Tribolium castaneum: one gene and its partner. The main gene of each other region encodes a partner of the protein of the gene in region 2 in a complex. Links are inferred from orthologs where the notes say so. Each region holds a gene or a part of one and is shown on either strand. Other genes may lie near its edges.

What was found.
Region 1: Cpsf73 (region 2) and Cpsf4 share a complex: the UniProt entries of both Drosophila melanogaster proteins name them as parts of the cleavage and polyadenylation specificity factor (CPSF) complex. The link is inferred for Tribolium castaneum from reciprocal best matches to the Drosophila melanogaster genes Cpsf73 and Clp.

What each region holds. Positions count from the first base shown.
Region 1 is NC_087394.1:10,088,961-10,093,201, forward strand, and holds Cpsf4 (cleavage and polyadenylation specific factor 4, 30kDa), read right to left. Parts: upstream 2,444-4,241; 5' UTR 2,386-2,443; coding exon 2,283-2,385; intron 2,234-2,282; coding exon 1,494-2,233; 3' UTR 1,412-1,493; downstream 1-1,411. UniProt on the Drosophila melanogaster protein: Component of the cleavage and polyadenylation specificity factor (CPSF) complex that plays a key role in pre-mRNA 3'-end formation, recognizing the AAUAAA signal sequence and interacting with poly(A) polymerase and other factors to bring about cleavage and poly(A) addition.
Region 2 is NC_087396.1:20,618,169-20,623,404, forward strand, and holds the start of Cpsf73 (cleavage and polyadenylation specificity factor 73), read left to right. Parts: upstream 1-1,841; 5' UTR 1,842-1,927; coding exon 1,928-1,998; intron 1,999-2,044; coding exon 2,045-2,108; intron 2,109-2,155; coding exon 2,156-2,253; intron 2,254-2,304; coding exon 2,305-2,433; intron 2,434-2,565; coding exon 2,566-2,743; intron 2,744-2,790; coding exon 2,791-2,880; intron 2,881-2,926; coding exon 2,927-3,253; intron 3,254-3,547; exon of another isoform or gene 3,548-3,691; coding exon of another isoform or gene 3,692-5,236. Other genes in the region: homer protein homolog 2, read left to right, coding at 43-179, 439-624; delta(24)-sterol reductase, read right to left, coding at 3,692-5,236. UniProt on the Drosophila melanogaster protein: Component of the cleavage and polyadenylation specificity factor (CPSF) complex that plays a key role in pre-mRNA 3'-end formation, recognizing the AAUAAA signal sequence and interacting with poly(A) polymerase and other factors to bring about cleavage and poly(A) addition.

The DNA.
Region 1 (4,241 bases), on a different chromosome or scaffold from region 2:
ACCAGTTCTCGTCTGATCACTGAAGTTAAGCAGCGTCGGGCGCGGTTAGTACTTGGATGGGTGACCGCTTGGGAACACCGCGTGCCGTTGCCTCCTTTTTTGGTTTGTAACGCCTTAAATAAAACTTTTAGGACAGTTAATCTCCTGTGAGGCCGAGAAAATTTTCAGGCAACGTCCATACCACGCTGAATACACCAGTTCTCGTCTGATCACTGAAGTTAAGCAGCGTCGGGCGCGGTTAGTACTTGGATGGGTGACCGCTTGGGAACACCGCGTGCCGTTGCCTCCTTTTTTGTTTTGTAACGTCTTAAATAAAACTTTTAGGACAGCTAATCTACTCTGAGGACGAGAAAACGTTCAGGCAACGTCCATACCACGCTGAATACACCAGTTCTCGTCTGATCACTGAAGTTAAGCAGCGTCGGGCGCGGTTAGTACTTGGATGGGTGACCGCTTGGGAACACCGCGTGCCGTTGCCTCCTTTTTTGTTTTGTAACGTCTTAAATAAAACTTTTAGGACAGCTAATCTACTCTGAGGACGAGAAAACGTTCAGGCAACGTCCATACCACGCTGAATACACCAGTTCTCGTCTGATCACTGAAGTTAAGCAGCGTCGGGCGCGGTTAGTACTTGGATGGGTGACCGCTTGGGAACACCGCGTGCCGTTGCCTCCTTTTTTGTTTTGTAACGTCTTAAATAAAACTTTTAGGACAGCTAATCTACTCTGAGGACGAGAAAACGTTCAGGCAACGTCCATACCACGCTGAATACACCAGTTCTCGTCTGATCACTGAAGTTAAGCAGCGTCGGGCGCGGTTAGTACTTGGATGGGTGACCGCTTGGGAACACCGCGTGCCGTTGCCTCCTTTTTTGTTTTATAACGCTTTAAATAAAACTTTAGGACAGTTAATCTACTCTGAGGACGAGAAAATGTTCAATGAGAGAAATTTCATTTCTCTCACCAAGTTTAATGGTATAATGTACCTAAAAAACTGCTCCTGTAAGATAATAGTATATTATATTATAAGAGATAGAAATGGATCATTATATGTAAGTGAGAATTTGACACACGAGTGCGCTTGTGCTCGAGTGGGAGTGTCCCACGAGCTTTAAAACGGTATTTCGATCACGTGTGATATACGACGTTTTATCTTACACGTGCATTAGAAAAAAATCCAAAAAATTCAAGTAAATATCCGCCTGTAACATTAGCATCAGTTTTCGTAGTGATGAAATGAACAGACTCATTGTTTTCTCCAATTTTCTCTAGATTTACTCACTTGTGAGAACAACTCTAACAGCTTTATCTCACCTCACAAACAATGGTATAATGTACCTAAAAAACTACGCCTGTAACCTAAGAAAAATAATTAGATTAATTTTTGGAAAAAGGCGAAATAAATCTACTCGTAAAAATTGTTGTTTATTTTCCTATAGAATAAATACAATAGTTTGAATAACTTTAAATATTATTTAAAAACGATCACCACTCTTATTGATCACCTTGTCCATCCTGATTGCTCTTGGCCTGTGACAAAAACGCCAAGTGCCCTTTAGGGCACCGATTTGCGTAGTGTCCCTTTGTACCACACTTGTAACAAGTAACATCTTCCAGCTTCTTAGGCAACATTTTCTGCAAATAAGAGTTCTGAGGCTCATAATGATCATTCTGTTTTCGATTCTCGTCATTTAAGGCGTCTCTGTTATCACTATTCATCTTATTACAATGTATCGCCTTGTGTCCATGTTCGTTACAAAAGTGACAAATAATAACAGGAGTGGCTTTCTTGTCCTTCTGCACCTGATCAGGGGGCGCAGGCAACTCAAACCTTGGGTGCATATACTTGCAGTTTGGCCCTTCGGGGCAAAAGCCTGCCAAGTAATTCGTACACAAAACCCTGCGCACGTGTCTGTGACGACAGTGGGGCCCATGTCGACAAAACCCACGGTCATACCAAGGACAATCCTTGATTTTACTCTCAGGGTCTATGTGTAAAAACGGACACTCTTTATTGTGACAAGCGTTAAATCTCGAATAGAAGTAACACTCGGGCATTTTTGTCATGTCATACTCGTGTAAAAACTCGCACTGGTCGCCTTTCTTGCAAAGACCTCTCAGCCAGTGTTTGCACACAATGGTTCGGTCGCCTCGCACGTGACGAAACGGACATTGGGGGCCCTTTTGACAGCCTTGTATTGAAGTGTAAAACTGACAAACGGCTGCAATTGATTCTGAAAGCAAAAAACGAGAAAATTATATTTTCGACATAACCTCACTTACTGTCCATTCCGGGAAATGGTAAGGGCAAAGCGCCGAATTGCTCATCTAGAGCCACTTCAATGTCGAATTTTATGTGGTCCACGTTGGCCACAATGCACTCCATTTCGATATTTGTAGTTTAATATTACAAAAAATGAAAACGCAACACCTTTTATTTTAACCACAACAAAATCAACTATTTGACATGTAGTCCTGCCACCATAGCCTGCCACCAGTTGGTCTAGATTGGCAGCTCTGGTTTAGTGTAAAAAATTTCAAATTCAAAAAAAAACTTAGCAAGTTTACCGTGTTCCAATCTCTGGAAAACGATACAATAATATAATAAGGAACGGCTTTAAATAAGGAAAGTAAAAAATTAGATGATCCGTTGATAGGCAGTCCGTATAGTGTGTTGCCTATCTAAAAATTACCAAAAAAAATTTATTTGCGAAACTCAAAATTAAGTGTAAATATACATTGCGAGTCAATTGTGGCTTATTTCTGAAGATTTTTTGATGCAACTAGTAATACTAGGATAATACTGGTTCCAGTTGACCACTAAATTGTCAAAAAAAAAAACAAATTTAATCCACAATTGCATTGTTCTGGGTAAAGGTTGTTCCATATCTGGTGGCGAACTGGCAGTGATATAAAAAAAAACTCTTGAAATGCACCCACTTCATTAAAAGAATGAAATAAAGGGGGTGCATTTTTTTCTCTAAAATTTACTTATTTACTTTAACATAAATTTTGAGGACGAAGATACATAGAAATATTACTATTATTATATTGTTCAATATTCTTATCTTTTTATTGTGACGCCTGTGGGCATTTTTTTTTTAATTAAACATATCTATCTTCAATGCTAAAATTCAGTCATTTTTGGCAATGTCAGTTCGCCACCAGGGGCCCGTTTCATAAAAACTACAAGTTGATTTTTACAAGTGACAAGTAAATCACTTGTAAAAAGTTTTATAAAATAGGCCGCAGATTTGGAATAAGCCTTATTGTCAAGTTTGTGTAACAGTTTTCCTAAAATTTCATTATGGACTAATTAGCGTTTCAAAATGCCAACGACGCCCTTTACCGAATTATTTTTCTAAATAACGTTTACAAAAATGTAAAATAGTTGAAATAATAAATTACATCAGCTAATAATTTTTTGAAGCGCATGAATAACATAACAAATAATTTTTAGACAAAATGCGACGTTAGCACTTCAATAGTCTTGAAACAGTTAGTATGATTTAAAAAATAAAAAACCACTAGGAGCCATTTGTTGTATACAAGGTCCGAAAATTGATTGTTTTGATAAAAATACATTGTTTAATGTATAGAGAATAACGACAATTATAAAAAAATAACAACTATTATTACTAAGATGAACAGGTGCATTTTAGGTTTTCAAATAAAAAATCGTTAAAACTAAAAGGCTTTAAAAAACGAATAACACATTCTTAAGCTCGTTATTCGAGAAAATAATTATGGTCAAAACCCACATCCCGCTATATCATTTGCTTTCGACAACAACAAAGTTAATCAAAAGTTGACATTTTAGCGAAATTTAATCTAAAAAAATATCTTCCTTATTACACAGAGTGATTCAAAAGTGATGAACAATCTCCCGGAAGCTGATAAAGGAAGCAAACTGAATTAAAAGTTCCTATGAGCCTTCTATCACGAGATATAACTCTTCAAGGTTACGTTTTTGGTGCTTCAGATCATATTTACAAATGTCTTATGATGTACAAAACAATTCAAAAACTTGCCAATTTGATATATTACATTCGACACCGTAGGAAACAAAAAAAACAATCGATACCTTTGCTGAGGAAAACAAATTCAAAAAATATACAAAAATTAAGTTCTTGAAAGAAAATCTGATTTCATTTTTTGTGCAGCCTGTATAAAAAACACATCTGAAACAAAGACACTGCAGAGGTACTTTTTCATAAAAAATTTAAAAATGTAATTTTTTTA
Region 2 (5,236 bases):
CTCCCACAACTAGAACAATTGAGAGTTTTGTTTATTGATCAGGTGGCGGCGACATTGCCGATGAACTGCGCCAAGAAATTCAAAGTCTGCGAATTCGCCTCGAACAGATGGAGGCCGAGCTGGACGCCAAAAATAGCGAATTCAAGCAGTTGGCTTTCCAGAAACCGTCGGATATTCAGGTAAAGTCAAAAATTTGGAAAAAATAAAAATTTAGTTTTTCTTGCATTCTACGCTCATATCTTAAAAATTTGGGGTAACTTTAAAGCATCGAAATGAAGCGAGTTAGAAACTTTCGTTTGTCACATATTTTTTTCTTTTGGGCAACTAGAAGTATTTGTAGTATTTCTCAAATTTGCTTTTCAATTTTCCCGTACACAAAAAAATGATCTGTTACTTTGTGAAAAAAAAATTCTTTGAAAAACTGTGATTTTCCCGCAGGCGTTGCAGAAGGAAAACCAGGAGCTCCAGGCGACGGCAAAATTGGCCCAATCCGAGCTGGACATCGCTCTCAGCGCCCACGAATCTCAGCGCCAAATCCTCCTCACGCTGAATTCGCAGCTGGCGTCGCGAGTACAAGAACTAGCAACGATCCACGACGAAATCACCACGGCTTTGCAGACGTGAGAGCTTGAAGACAGATAGCATCGTAATGTACGCGAACGCATTTATATTGCATATGTATAGGGTCCGTGTAATATCTTGCTTAGGTCTATAACTATGAATGTCTCGAAAAATATAATATTCATAACGTACGTACTATCGGTTATAAACTTTATACTTTATTTATTTACAAAGTGCCACCGCACAATTTATTAGGTTGTCTAATGTCCATGCATTTATTGAAATTGTGATGTGTCCGGACTCGCGTCCAAAGGCCAAAACGAACAAAAGTTATTTTATTCTGCAGCTTCCTTGATTAAAGTGGCGCCGTCTATTTTTTTTCCTTTCTTTCCTTCACGGATTAAGGAAGCTGTTTTATTCAGCTGCGATTTTTGGTTGTGTAAATGCCATTTAATTGTAGGATTTTCAAGTATCAAAGCGTTTTATACGTAACAATGCGTACTGTCGTGCAGCTTTCAGTATTTTGTTAATAGTTGCAGAATTAACATATCATGGGTTTTGTGTTTTATTATTGTGATGCGTTAATTTTGTTACTATTACCGAGCGCACATTTATTTTAGGTTTCATTTCATCATCGAGATTGACTGATTATTTATTTTACGTTATCATTTGAATCAAAATAAGTCCTCATAAAAACGTAGCGAATTACTTTATGTTGCCATTGTGAAATAGGGTTCTTCGTAGCCAAACACTAAGCTGACAATGCACACGTATTATTACAAGATTTTTTGTTTATTTATATTTTATTTGGTTGAAAAAGAATTGCTTGAGAGACGTTTAGCGCGTTGTTATAATTATATAGAAGAAATGTCTTTCAAGCACGTTTTTAACGTGACTTTCAAAGCAACAATAACGATAATAATGGAAATTTCTCAATACTGTACCATTAGAAGTCAGTGCTATAAACATATTGCACTTGTACTATAGGCGGAGATTTGTTCTAATAATAGGATGAGCTGATTATTATTATGTTGAGATTGTTATAATGAAGCAAAACTGTTTCCAATTTTTTATTTCTGTATAATGCAAGACCAAAATGTATTAGGCGATTTTGTTTGTAGAAATAGATGATTATTAAAAAAGTGACTTTTTGTGTGAAACCCCCAAAACACCCAGAATTCAGGCACATTTTAGGTGTGTATGATAAGGTCTAAGGGAGACAGCAAGGTGGAAAAACGTGTTGATTTGAATTTAAATTTTGTACCAACCTCAAAACCTAAAATTCCCCCGATTTCGAAAGTGATTTTTTTAGGTTATGTGTATCATGAAAGCTGCATAAAAAATAAAGTTTTTGGCTTTGGAAATCATGTCCAATAAACGCAAACCCGATTCCCAAGTCCCAGCCGAAGAAAGCGACCTTTTGACCATTAGGCCACTGTAATTATTCCAAAAATTACAATTTTGTGTTAACACTGTCTTGTAGGGGTGCCGGTCAGGAAGTGGGACGGTCTTGCATAATGCTTGAATTTAAAGGGAAAAAAATTATGGTCAGTTTGATCGATTTTTATTCGTTTATAAGACTTTAAACTTGTAGCTTGATTGTGGAATCCATCCTGGGCTCTCAGGCATGGATGCGTTGCCTTTCGTTGATTTAATTGAAGCCGACGAAATCGATTTGTTGCTAATATCACAGTACGAAACATTTTTTTTTCGTACATTAATAACTGTAACGTGAAATTCCAGTTTTCACCTGGACCATTGTGGGGCTTTGCCCTGGTTTTTGCAAAAAACGAGTTTCAAGGGTCGCTGCTTTATGACCCACGCCACCAAGGCGATTTATCGGTGGTTATTGTCAGATTATGTGAAAGTCAGGTAAATTGTGACTTAATAAGGGCGAAAAAAATTTCTGGTAGTTCTCCGTAATTATTATTAAAAAAAAATAAGATTTATGTTTTTAAACTGGCCCTTGACCTACTTTGATCGGAAATGTGTTCGAATTTGCAGCAACATTGCAACCGAACAGATGCTCTACACTGAGGCGGACTTGGAGGCTAGTATGGACAAAATCGAGACAATAAATTTCCACGAAGAGAAAGACGTTTTGGGGATCAAATTCTGGGCTTACAATGCGGGACATGTCTTGGGCGCCGCTATGTTTATGATTGAGATAGCTGGCGTTAAAGTACGACACTTAAATTTCAAACAACTTTATTGAAAATTTCGTTTTAGATTTTATACACTGGCGATTTTTCGCGTCAGGAAGACCGTCATTTAATGGCTGCGGAGATTCCAACAGTTCACCCTGATGTTCTAATTACAGTACGACTTAAATTTTGACTAACATTTATTCAAAAAAATATTACAGGAATCTACCTACGGTACCCACATTCACGAAAAACGCGAAGAACGTGAAAGTCGTTTTACGAATCTAGTTCACGATATTGTTAACAGAGGCGGTCGCTGTTTGATCCCCGTTTTTGCATTAGGACGGGCACAGGAGTTGCTTCTAATTTTGGATGAGTATTGGAGCCAACATCCAGATTTACACGATATTCCCATCTATTATGCTTCCTCATTGGCTAAGAAATGTATGGCTGTGTACCAGACTTACATCAACGCCATGAACGACAAAATTAAGCGACAAATCGCAATAAACAACCCGTTCGTGTTCAAGCACATCTCGAATTTGAAGGTGAGTTTTTGTAGCTGTGAGTATAGAAAATTTTATTACCAAGTTGGCAATGAGAACCATAACTTGAGTAGACTATAATTAATGCAATGATCACTGAGCTAATAATCGTATTATGAATAATTCGTAAATTCTGTCTGCGTTTTTTATCAAATTGTTATAAAAAACGAATGCATAAACGTACAAAAAAATGTAGTTTATTTTTACGGACTTGAAACTTATCAAGACATCGTGTGAGTGTAATAAAATTAATAAAATCGGTTCGGTGCGGTTATAACTTATCCAGTACGCTTGGAATATGGAAAAAATAATTTATTACGTAATAGAATATATTATTTCAGTAAAATATGCATAAAAAAATAAAAACTGGATTAACAAATAGTTATGAATACGCAACCAATAATACATTTTTAATCGTAGAAAAATACTTGTATGCCATTTTCACTTGATTTCGAATCGTTGCCCCACTTCGAACACATCGATTTCCGGCTTGACCTTATCGTAAAGATGTGGGAACGACCCCTCGGCCCCATACTTCCTCCGCACTTTCTCATACAACGTCAAGTCAAACATTTCCTCAAACTCTTCCCTAGTCATGAAAATATCGGCATACAAGAACGAAAAACCCCCAATATCACGCGTAAACTTCTCCATCTCCCTCATCGCATAAACAGGATTATACCGCTCCTTGCGTTTCACATACCCAGGCACCCCATAAATCCCCAAATCGTTGTACATTGCATAATCGGTCCCCTCAACGATATACTCCTTCCGGGGCGCTTTCAACTGACCGGAAGCCGGTCCTCTGTCATAAACCCGACATGGGTAGACCAGAAGTGGATAGGCGTCGAAAAGTTCGTCCGATTTATCGATTTGATCCTCAAGTTTGCGAATTGGTAGGACAATGTCTTGGAACACTTGTCTTGTGAAAGTGTAAACTCGTACGCCGGGGGTTGTCGTGAATTTGAGGAATGCTGGCTTTGGGGGCAACAACCAGCCGAAGAATAGGCGGAAAAGGGGGTTGTTGCCGAAGGGGATCATTGATTCAACGACCCAGAAAATGGCCCGGTTGTGGCGCAGTAAATACTCCCGTAAAGGGATCAACTCTGTGTGTTTGCCTTTTTTGAGGAATGTTTCCACGTATTTGTAAAACCACGGTTTGTACCAGCGATTTACGTGGTTTATCGGCAGGTTTGGGTCATAGTCGGAGTAAGACCCTGTCATTATTACGGCCCTTTCAGGGCTATAAATAGTCGCTTCCACGTAATCTTCAGTGGGATAATCGCCACTATCGCCTGACAATAACCTGATCATATCACAGTAGTTTTTCTTCCCTTCGACCGGAATATAATTCATTTTGATAAAGGGCTTGACTTTCACAAGTCTCAAGGTTAAGGCTACAAGAAACCCCAGACTGCCGTGTGACCACGGCAGGGTTTTATAAAGATCAGCGTTTTCGTTCTTCGCAGCCCTGACAAGACTCCCATCGTGCAAAACCACCTCGTACGAAACCACCGTTTCGTGGTACAGCCCCACTTTGTGTGAGTGCGTCGTCATGCCGGTGCCCAGCGCGAGCCCCCCGAGCGTGGCGTCGGCAATTTCAAGTGTCACAGCTAGGGTGAACCCCCGCGGAATTAAAAATTGCGTGATTTCGCCCACAGTGACCATGGGTTCGACCCGCACGGTCAGATTGTGTTCATCCAATTGCAGAATGTCGAACAGATCGACGTTGATTTTGTGGCACAGGTCTTTGCGGTAGAAGGTGGTGGAGAGGCTTAGCCAGTTGGGGCGCGCTGTACATAGAAGTTTTCGTTCGTCTTTGGGGATTTTGTTCCATTGTTGGATTTGTTTCTGGATCGCGCGGACGCGCGAATCGTGGTTTGTGGGGCTGCTGAAGAAAAACCGGTGGAGGGTTTTGCGGATTGTTAGGAAGAGGTTGAAAATGTAGCTGGCGGGGAGGCAGAAGAAGAGGACGACGAGGCCTCG